Caenorhabditis elegans: one gene and its partner. The protein of the gene in region 1 interacts with the protein of each later gene in a pairwise test. Each region holds a gene or a part of one and is shown in the gene's direction. Other genes may lie near its edges. The genes, in order: C07E3.3 and lec-1.

What was found.
Region 2: the proteins of C07E3.3 (region 1) and lec-1 interact in a two-hybrid assay, tested with the Caenorhabditis elegans proteins (2 studies listed by BioGRID).

The regions. Positions count from the first base shown.
Region 1 is NC_003280.10:10,353,015-10,359,404, reverse strand, and holds C07E3.3 (SH2 domain-containing protein), read left to right. Parts: upstream 1-1,886; 5' UTR 1,887-1,902; coding exon 1,903-2,010; intron 2,011-2,058; coding exon 2,059-2,187; intron 2,188-2,231; coding exon 2,232-5,378; intron 5,379-5,422; coding exon 5,423-5,518; intron 5,519-5,566; coding exon 5,567-5,647; 3' UTR 5,648-5,772; downstream 5,773-6,390. Other genes in the region: C07E3.8 (DUF223 domain-containing protein), read right to left, coding at 6,152-6,390.
Region 2 is NC_003280.10:13,194,960-13,200,399, forward strand, and holds lec-1 (Galectin), read left to right. Parts: upstream 1-1,986; 5' UTR 1,987-2,149; coding exon 2,150-2,194; intron 2,195-3,074; coding exon 3,075-3,650; intron 3,651-4,282; coding exon 4,283-4,519; 3' UTR 4,520-4,754; downstream 4,755-5,440. Other genes in the region: btf-1 (BTAF (TBP-associated factor) homolog), read left to right, coding at 5,212-5,340. UniProt on the Caenorhabditis elegans protein: Binds galactose.

The DNA.
Region 1 (6,390 bases):
ATTCTTGGCAAACGAACACAACCTTTTTATTTCAGTATGATAGTCCAACGTTTCGATTCAAAAATTAATATACATAGAAATGTAAGAGAATATAAGTTTTCATTTGAAATAATATTGGTTTTTGTTTAAAAAATATTTAAAAAACCTACCGTTAAAAGTTTTTGGCACAATTTCAATTATTTTTCAATTTTTTAAACAAAAATAAATATTATTATCAGATTAAACATATATTTTTCTACACTTCCATATCAAGTTTTGAATCAAAAAGTTGTATCATCATACTGAAATAAGCAGTCTTGTACTCTTGCCAAAACAGCGCCACGGCAAACATTAAATTAACTCGAAATGTTCAATACTTTAAAAGCAAGTTTTAAAATTCCCAAATCTGCTTGAAACTTCCCTGATGATCGTTCCAATCGGTCACTCGACTCTTCTTTCGTCAAACTCACTAACAATAATAATAATCCGAAGAACTGACAAAACACCGAGTTCTTGTGTGCACTTCCCCCTGTGCTCACTTTTTGACTCATTTCATATGTCATTTGAACATAGGAAGTGTGACGTATGATTTTTAGCATTCTTTGAACTTTTTGATATTAGAACATTTAAAACTAGATAGGTAATTACTCAGTTCTTGCTATTCATAAGTTTCTGCGAAGACTAAATTTAAAACGCGTTGAATATATTTTTAAAAATGCTCAAAACTATGAATGCTCTGTCTACTTTAAATTGAACTTGAATTCGAAACTTACTATTAGACATTACCCCAAGTTAAATTATTCAAACCCTACTATCCAAAATATCTCCTTATCTTGTAAAAACTTAATAAATCAGATATCTAGGAATAGAAAAACTTTTTTGCAACCCCCAGCAACAATTCGATGTTGCGCACCGCTTTTTGTACGGTTTCCGCTTGACAATCTCTCTAAATCACTTAGTCTCCTACGGTCTCTAATTAGAATTTGTCTCCAGGGATTGAAATCATGTCGGTGGATCAAGCAAAGTGCGTGAAAATATATGTGTATATGTCAATCAGATAATTTACTTTTTATGTGTGTCGTTGTTATTCCGCCTGTCACTCACTTTCTCGCTAATTTCCGTATTTTCATTTCTTAATCGTGTTAATTAACACCATTTTGAGGTCTGTCCAAATTTCCAAACGAAAGTTTTGGAAATTTTGGTAATTTTTCAAAACTTTTAATGAAAAAGAAGATCGAAATGTTTATTTGAAGTGTTTTATCAAAACATTTGATCATTATGAGTAAATTTACAACACATTAAAAAATGTCTTTCCGAGGTATGAAAATTGTGTAATTTTTCTAAATATCGGCCTACAATTGAAGCCTACTTTTGAGCCTTTTTCTCACGCTCTATCTTAAAACTTTTTGTATATTATTTCTTGTGTAAGATTTTAGAGGAAAAAATGCGAATAATTTTTTTTCCAAACTCTGCTCATAAAATGATTCTTGTTTATTTTCTCACTCACAAAACTCTCTATTTCTTTCTTTCTCCATATATTTTTCCATAAAATGGTAGAAGAGAGTGACTCAAAATGTTTTTTCTCCATTTCTCCCTGTTTGTTTTAGGTTGCTTATGATGGTTGTTTAATGGTTGCGGTGGGAGGGAGTTTGTCATCTGACTCGTCTTCGTTCGTACTTTTTAAGAGACATCAATACACCTAAACTCCGCTTACTCGATGATCATTCAGTTTCTTGAGGAATAATATTTTCCACAATTCCTTCTGATTTTCTTTTTATAGCTCATATTCGTCATTTTTTATATATACAGAACAGAAGCAACAGCTTCCAATTCGGTGTTTTAAATATACTTCTTTGCTACACTTTCAGAGTTTTCCTAATGTTTGCAAATTCATTTTTATTTTTCAGACCGCTAGCAGAAACAATGGGACATAGTCAATCCTACGATCTTCGGAACCCGGAAGGAGGCGAGAAGACGCCAGTTAGAGGAGTACGAAGAGTGAGCAGAGAACATCAGACTGATGCACAATTTGTGAGAAACTTACCTAAGGATAAATCAAGACTAACTTTCACTTTTCAGTCCACAGAAACCGCTGAGCCGTTTGATTTTCGAGAGGATGAGCTTCGTGACCGGATCCGAAGAGAGCAGTTGAGGAAGAGAGAGGTCGAGTTGGAAACGTTGAGAATCAGACAACACGAGAGTCGAGAGGTATTTTATTTGATGACTGAATGATTTTAAAACCCAATTTCCAGCCAATCATCGATGCGTACCGCCAAAACCAACCTGCACCACAAGGAAACTTGTACAATGAGTTCAATCATTACGATTCGATGAAACATGCTTCTCCATCTGATCCAGCCACTTATTTCGCACTGAAACCAATGACCGAAGTTAATGAAGGCCGACAATTCTCAATTCCAACTTCTTCCACTCGCCGCTACGACCAAGTTCCAATCGATCCATCCCCTGAACTTCAACGCCGTGAAGTTCCCAGCAAGCAGTCTCCACCAAACTATCCGAAGCGATCTTCAGTGTTTGGTGGCAGAGTATCCCCGTTGCCACGTCAATCGGAAGTCGATCCACATCCAATGCCACGCTACATTCCACCGATGAGTCCAAGGTATGAACGAACCCCCAAAGCCCAATACTGTAAAACTACCACTGTCACTACCTATACCACTTATGGAGATACCCCTGAACCACCTAGAAGTACAACTTACTCGAAAGCTTCAAAGCTGAAAGAAACATCGGTAAAACCATACGCCACCTACTCAAGAGGTACTAAACTCCCAAAGTATGACGAAGTTCCCAGGAATACAATGTACTCCCGAGCTTCTGAAGCTTCAAAAACCTCTTCTCGAACTTCCTTAGCTTCAACATGTTCTCGAGCCTCGAAACTTCCAAAATATGATCAGATTCCTCGTAGCCCTAGTGTCCATAGTCTGTATTGTCGTATCCCAACCTATGATGAAGTCCCAGTCCAAAAAAGTCCACGTTCCATAACTCCAACGCCAATGAGCCACCGTGTCCGTATTCAAACATCTCCTCCAATCCCACCATCATCTAATAGTACCTATGTGATTCCTGTTAAAGTGGATCGTAGATCCGACAGTCCTCGAACAGTCATAATCCCATTCTCATCAAACTCAACTACAGCTCTCGACAAGGTTCCCCAAGAAACACCAATCTATCGTAGAATATCTAAACCCAGCCAGACTAAGCCAACCAACTCTCGCGTTTCTAGCATCCCTTTAAGTCAGTCGTATCATTCGATGGACAAAATTACGATGACCTCAGTCTATCGTACTACTGCTACAAATAATCTGAAACAAGAGCCCATAGTCATTCCTAGACCTACCTATCGTTATTCAAAAACTCCGCTTCAAAAAGAAATTCCGCCAGTCCCTCTTGAACGATCTGTGATCCGACAGCCTGAGTACAGTGATCCCGGAGACTCTAGAATCATAGTCATACCATTCTCAAATCAGAACAAAAAATATTCACCCCCTCCATCAAGAAGCAGTACTCCAATTTATCATACCAATCTTCAAAGAGATGTTCCAACGTCTCCCCTACCTAGAAGACCCCTCTACAGTCGACCACCGTCAACTATTAGTACTGCTTCATCGGTTGAATATATCCCTCGTGCTCCGGTACCTAGAAGACCACTATACGATAGACCTCCATCTACGATTAGTCCACCTCGTTCTCCCCCATCAGAGCTTTATTTAACTCCTCTTGAGCAGGAAGTTCAGCGGGCTCCATTGTCCAGGCGACCACTTTACAGTAGACCACCATCAACCGCCAGTGCTCCTCGTTCTCCACAACCAAAAATCTATTTAACTAGACTTCAGAAGGAGGTACCACATGTTCCGCTGTACTCATGCGTGGCAAGACCAAGACCAGTTTACAGTACACCTCCAGAAGAGCCTATTGTGATTCCTCGTGCAGTTAATCCACCTGTGTCTTCAACAATATATTTGACTCGACTTGAACCAGAAGTTCCTGGAACTCCACTACAGCACTACATTTATAGATCTCGCTCTTCATCCACCTATAGCGTTCCGCCAGTCGAGGAGGCTTCGACCCGAACAGTAGCTTCCCCATCTAGATACACTCCCCCTCCTTCTTCATCTCCAAAAATGCACCTAACTCATCTGGAGCGTGAAGTTCCTGGAACACCACTCAACCACTACATCTCCAGACCTAGATCTACCCCGATCTATAGTACTCCACCAGAGGATAGGAATGTAGTCTCCCCATCTAGATATACCCCTCCACCATCGGTAACAATGGCTGCAAAACTTCATCTAACCCCACTCCAACCTGAAGTTCCTAGTACTCCATTGCAGCATTATATTTCTAGATCCCGCGCTTCATCCGTCTATAATACCCCATCAGTAGATAGTACTTCAACGCGTAGCCTGGTGTCTCCATCTTCTGTTCGTATGCCTCCCAAGCTCCATTTGACTCGTCTTCAACAGGACGTTCCGTGGACCCCGTTTAAGGTGTCTAGGCCTAGGTCAACTCCAATATACAGTACCCCTCCTCTCGAAAAACCTATTTCCCGTACTCTTGTTACCCCGTCTAGACGCACTCCCCCTCAAAAGCTCCACCAGATTAGTCTTGATCAAGACATCCCGGGAACTCCCCTTCAGCATTATATCTATAGATCTAGATCAACATCAACCTACAGTATACCATTGTCTGACTATCCTCAACCATCGCCAACTCCGTCTAGTGTGATTATGAATGACGATTCTCCATATGAAGAGAAGCCGAAAAGTTATTTGGGTACCTACCCAAAAACTTACACCAGAATCATGCCAGAAAGACCACCAAAAATAATTTCCCCACCAGAACATCCGGTAACAGTCAGCAAATCTAAATCCACTCAAACTCTTGACCAAATGGTAGTTCTCCCACAACCAAAAACTCATCTCTACCCAGAAATCAGTTACCGTCGTCGTAGACCATTGAGTATACATGTCCCCGCAGAGTCCAAATCCTCCACCATAATTTCTATCTACAGTAACCCCATCGATGATGTTCCACCAACACATGTCTCCGAACTACACGCCGAGAAGCGAATGATCGTTGGAATCGATGACGAGTTGCAGCCAGAGAAGAACAACGTGACATACGTAACTGTAGCTACTGCTGCAATCGATAATGAACTACTTCATCGTCATCCAGAAGTTGGAAGACATCCAGTCTACGTGCTTCCAGCTCAAACAAGCTACGGAGCTTCTGCCAAAAGAAGATCGTCTGATGACGAGGCAAAGAATGTGTTGCCGCCACAGAACTGCACAGTGGAGCACTGTACACACGTGGCGGTTAATGATGGAAGTCCTGTAGTGATAAGAAAAAGAGCCAGTCAAGATTCCATCAGAGATAAGGTGAATAGTATTATTATCTTCAGTTAAATAAAGATATTCTTTAGGAAAACCGCCTAACAATTCCCATCAACGAGGACGACACGGAAAACGTCGGAGAGGGTACAAATTATCAAAATGTCTCGAAAAAGTGCTTTGAAGAGGTAACCAGAGATTCCTTGCTAATAACTAAAACTCTTTTTAATTTCCAGAGACTCCACTACGATTCGTACATGCCAACGCTTTCATTGAGACAACGTCCTGTTGTCAGCTTTTATGACAAGCTTCATTAACTGCATTGAATATTTTTCTGAAATTTTGAAAAATCCAAAAAAAAAGAATGGGGATAAGCATTAATGTAATTTATTCATTAATTGTCAATAATTAATTTTAAAATGCAAATAAATTTTTTAACCTTTTTTGGGATTAAAGAATGCATGATTGGAAATCAAAATTATGAAACTTCACTGATTCAACAAAATCTGGAACCGAATCTTGCTCTGATACTTGTCATTATTCATGGTAATCCTTAGTTTGTTTAACTCATCCAAGTCATTCTTCACAGCATCTTCATTTTCCAGAAGCTCCCACGGGTATTCTTTTGCGAGACCCAAAATTTCAGTAACAATGATTTATCACAAATTATATCGATTGCTAGATCAAGATTCTTTTCCTGAATACAAAGCTTTCGAATATCTTGAATATTCTCAATTTGGGAGAGTATTTTTATACTCATTTTCTTCGTTGGGAAACACTTTCGAAAATGTTTAACTTTATAATCATTGTTGCTCATTTCTTCAAGCATTTTTCCAGTCAAACTTAACTGAAGCTCCTCCATTGCATACGGGGAATCCTCGCAGGTTTTTAGAATCAATAACTGTAACCTCGTTTAATATGTTTTTTCCAACAACAACCAAATGCAGAGTCTTCACCTTCCACTTGGAAATCATCATAGCACTGAGAAATACTTTTGGGATTCCGGAAGAAGGGGCATTAATTGAGAGCGAATCAACTGTGATGGGCGCGTTTTTGAAGT
Region 2 (5,440 bases), 2.8 Mb from region 1:
TGCCGGAACTTTCAAATTCCGACAATTTGCCGATTTGCCGGAAAAAACTCGTTTGTCGCCCACTCACAAATTTTTAAATTGAACTTTTTTAAATTCTAATTAACTTTAGAACCTTTAAGAAAAATTTTGAAATTCTTGCTCAAATATTGACATAAACCGCCTATATACAGTACCTCATAAAAGCCTAGAAAGAATATGTATTCAAATTCAATCATAAATGTGTCACCACCTCATCATAAACAAATCTCTTCTCCCCTCCCATATTTTCTCACAATTTTATCACCATGGTTTCTTCTTCTTCTTCTTCTTCAGAGAGAGAGAGAGCGTCATTTCTCACACACACACACAAAATTTTCCTGCATCTCTCACACACGTTCTGTGCTCTTTTGTCTCTTGTTTACACGTCTGTTGTCTCTCGGACTTTATTTACGAAATGCTGCGTCTCTCCTGCCCTTCTCTCTCTCTCTCTCTATTGCGCCCAGAGACCACACTTTTATTGCCATTGTCGTCGTCGTCGTCGGAAATTTTCTCGCTTTTTCATCTTCTTCTTCTAAATAATCATGTTTTTAAAATTCAATTTTAATTTCAGGAACCACCGAAAAGCCACCACCAGCAAAAAATGTCCGCCGAAGAGCCAAAGTCCTACGTGAGTTTCGTTTCTAACGGTGTTGTAACAACAACAAAAAAGAAAAGAATAGAAAAAAAACCGTATCAGTACGGGGGTGATGAAAGTGCGGCGGCGGCCCCAGTCAAGCGTAAGAAATAATGAAAAAGAAAGGACAGAAACTTTTGGAGAATTTGCCCGTTTCTGTAAGTGTCACCTCTATAGTTCACCACCGATGTTTGGACTACTACTACTACGTGTTGAATCAGAAGGAAGATCAGACGCCGCAAAAAATATATTTGTTGATAGTTGATTTCGAAATTGTAGTTCTTGACACTGATGATTGATCGTTAAGTGAACAATTTTAAAGAAACGATTTTTGCATAACGTCCAGTTTGCAGCAATTCTACAGAATCAGGTTGAAAAGCTTCGAATTTAGAAACGTCTTCAGCTAAAGTGAGACCAAAATGTTTCCATCAAAAGCTCAAAAGGCATTTTTAATCTCTTTTTTCCAGCTTGAAACAATTTCCAGTTGATCTTTAAGATGCTTACCACTCGAATTTCAAATTGCTTCTGCAGTCTTCTATGTTAAGCCGTGTCTCATCATGAATGTCCTTTCTCTTCGATGTCTTGTGCCTTCTTGAAAATCTTCCGACGAGTAGTAACCTCCTTTTTCTCGAATATAGAACAACAAATGGCAGTTTGGCAATTTGGCAATTTGGACAAAACACTAGTACACCATGAGAACCTGCCTAAGATCAATGCCACATTTTTTCTCGCCTTGGCCCTAGTTGTGCAACACCTTTTCAACGTTTGAAGCAGGGGTGGGCGGCAATTGCCGGTTTGCCGGAAATTTCAATTCCGGCAATTTTCCGATTTTCCGCAAATTTCAATTCCGGCAATTTTCCGATTTGCCGGAAATTTCAATTCCGGCAATTTGCCGATTTGCCGGAAAAAAATCGTTTGCCGCCCACCCCCTGGTTTTTGAAGTGCATTTCGAGCCTTTGAAGTTGAAGTTTGCACGTGACGCCCAGACTCGAAATGCGGTAAACAGTAATGCGAAGACGCAAATATTGAGCATGGATTTTGCTCCGAAAACTTTTGTTGTTTGAGTTTCAACAAATCATACAAAAAAAATTTCGAGCTGAAAACTGTACCAACACTCATTATCGATCTCTTCCTCTCCAGAAAGTTCCGTTCCTTTTTTCAATTTCACTGTTTTCTTCGCCTACAACGACACGATGAATCATGGCGAGAAGTCGTATGCGAGAGACTGTACGAGAAGTCGGAGACACAGACAGATGCACAAAAAGAAACATTTCAATGTCGCCTCGCGCACATGCTGTCACCCTCCCATAATTCCATGCTCTCTCTGACTCAATATTGGGCGGCGCTTGCGAATGTTATGACTGTTCAACTGTCTGGTTTCTCTCTCCTCTCACACTCTCAGCTTTTGTTGAAACTGTTTACCGGTCGTCAGTTCTTCGTTTGACTCGCGTCCTGAACGATCGCTTTCAGTTTTCCTCAGCTCAACTCTTTACACTAATGTCTTCCACTCCTCAATTCCTTCGCTGGTACGAGCAGAACAAGGTAAAGCATGCCTCTATACATGGGGGTGTCAGGCTGTCCCATGTTTGATCTACAAAAAAAAGCGGGAATTTTTTCTCCTGCAACTTTTCGGAGATCAAACTGACATGGGACATTCTGACACCAGCTCGAAAATGGAGAGCATTCCAAGTTTGTTGGTTGCCACTAAAGTGACACATTCCTCTCGTTATCTGCTCGCCCACACCTTCGGTTCCATTATCAACATTCGAGATTCCCGCCATATTTCTGGTGTGTTTGCTCGGCGGCACATCACAACAAAATTTTGTGCAAAATGGAGCAAAATGGAGCTAAAAAATAGAAAGCAACTAGACAATGTAGAAAAGGCATTTTTTGTCGTCGTCAGCTGTATGAAAGTCTGGGGAGCGCGAAGATTGGTGGATGCAGATTGGATAACAGCTCTTCCGCTTTTTCGGGTCTCGCTTCTTGCTCGCTTATTCTGTTCACCAGTGTGTGACACGCGAGGTCCCCCCCCCCCCCCAGCATATATTTCTACATGATTACCCTACTGAACATTTTAAAATGGCATATGGAAGAAGAAATGGTTCTAGAAAACTCTACTTATAAATCTATTACCGAAACACAAAATTCTGAGAATGCGTATCGCGCGACATATTTGACGCGCAAAATATCTCGTAGCGAAAACTACAGTAGTTCATTGTTCATTACATGACTACTGTAGCGCTTGTGTGTCGATTTACGGCATTTCACAAGCGCTACAGTAGGCATTTAAGGAGTTACTGTAGTTTTCGCTACGAGATATTTTGCGCGTCAAATATGTTGTGCAGTACGCATTATCAGAAAAATGTGTTCCCGTAATAATCCAATTAATTTTTTAAAAAATTAAAATTTTTAAATTTTTCAGCCAGTACCATACCGCTCAGTGCTCCAGGAGAAGTTCGAGCCCGGACAGACGCTCATCGTCAAGGGATCGACGATCGACGAGTCGCAACGCTTCACCATCAACCTTCACTCGAAGACCGCGGATTTCTCCGGAAACGATGTGCCACTCCACGTCTCTGTCCGCTTCGATGAGGGCAAAATTGTGCTCAACTCGTTCTCGAATGGAGAATGGGGAAAGGAAGAGCGCAAGTCGAACCCAATCAAGAAGGGAGACTCGTTCGACATTCGCATCCGTGCTCACGACGATCGCTTCCAGATCATCGTCGACCACAAGGAGTTCAAGGACTACGAGCACCGTCTGCCACTCTCCTCAATCTCTCACCTCTCGATTGACGGAGATCTCTACTTGAACCACGTTCACTGGGGAGGAAAGTACTACCCAGTACCATACGAGAGCGGACTCGCCAACGGACTTCCAGTCGGAAAGAGCCTCCTCGTCTTTGGAACCGTTGAGAAGAAGGCCAAGCGCTTCCACGTCAACCTTCTCCGCAAGAATGGAGACATCTCGTTCCACTTCAACCCACGTTTCGATGAGAAGGTAAGGGTTGATATATGCCACGAGGCACCACAGAAAGGAGAACCACGACAAAGGAGAACAGGAACCACGTCCATTTTTCCGTGCCGCGAGAGGCACCACATTTTCAGGATCTGGAACCGTACCAACTGCGGTTTTTGCAGTTTTCTCTCGATGAAAAACGAAACAACGATGCTCCGATGTTATGCGTGTTGTTTAGCGTTTTCCAAAAGTTTTTATTTCAAAAAAACATTATTCTGAACGCTAAACAACACGCGACGCGTCATATCGGAGTATCGTTGTTTCGTTTTTCAGCGAGAGAAAACTGCAAAAACCGCAGTTGGCACGGTGCCCCAGATCCTGAAAACGTGGTGCCTCAAAATTTGCGGAAAACTTGCGGCACGGAAAAATGGGTGTGGTTTCTGTGTTCTCCTTGTTCACCTGTTCTCCTTTCTGTGGTGCCTCACACACACATACACAAAAAGACCCGCATTTTGTTTGCTACATTTGGGCAAATATGGCGCTCTTCAACAAACAATTTTATGAGACACAAAAGTTTTGCATGTGTCTATTTCTATTGGTAAAATTGGTGAAAGGACAAAAAAAAATCGATTTCAATAGAAATTTGACCAAATTCTTTATTTCCTTTCTTCCAGCACGTCATCCGCAACTCTCTTGCCGCCAACGAATGGGGAAATGAGGAGCGCGAGGGAAAGAACCCATTCGAGAAGGGAGTCGGCTTCGACTTGGTCATCCAAAACGAGGAGTACGCGTTCCAGGTGTTCGTCAACGGAGAACGCTACATCTCGTTCGCTCACCGCGCCGATCCACACGACATTGCCGGGCTTCAGATCTCTGGAGACATTGAGCTGTCTGGAATTCAAATCCAATAAATTATGTATTGATATCCCCTGTTCCCCCTCTTTCTTCTGTTATCCAGCTCTCCCATTTCTCTCTCTCTCACTGATCAATCTTCCAAAAGTCTACTGCCCCTCTCCCCCCCCCCCCCCCCCAAAAAGAATCATTTCTCTATTATTTCGCACCGGCAACTGAACTGTAATCCCGCGTTTTTCTTTTTGTATCTTTTCTCACCCCCCACATTGTATTTTAATAAAATTGGATAGCAGATTTTCTCGTTGTCATTTCAGGTTTCATATTTTGAAAGCGGATCATCATGAAAAGTTCTGCGAAAAAAACGCGAAAAGTAAGCGAAAACTCGAAAAAACTATATTTGAAAGTACCGCCGTTTTTGTCCAGGAGAGCGCGTTTTCCTCGAGTCACTACAAATTGCACGGAAGTCGAATCGTGAAAACCGCGCGTGTTTCCCATCAGGTTTGCCTACAAAATTTAGTTTTCTTCTTATTGTTAAATCAATAATTATTATAATGTATAATGTGAAGCTCGAAATCTTGAATAATCCTGAATAATCCTGCTATAAACTCGGGTTTCTAAAGTTTTCCTCAGGATTTTTGTTCCCTGGAATGCGTGGTGTCTCCCATTTTTTTTTGGATTTTTGGATTTAAATGCATTTTTCGCTGTTTTTTCTCTCAAATAAGCCGGAAAAATTGAAAATTTTCAGTTTCCGATGAGCGCCGACACGTCGGCTCGTCTTCTTCAGCTTGACCCTCTACTCGAAGCGAAAAATCCGAATGTTCGAAATGAAGCGGCCGCTGCGTTCGGGAAATTGTCAATTTTAAGTGAAGACGTGAAAAATGTTGGTTAATTAATATATATTTTTTTTAAATCACAAGAAAAAGTAAAAAATCACGGGTGAAAAGCGAGTTTATATATTTTTTTCCCTCGAAATGCCGAAT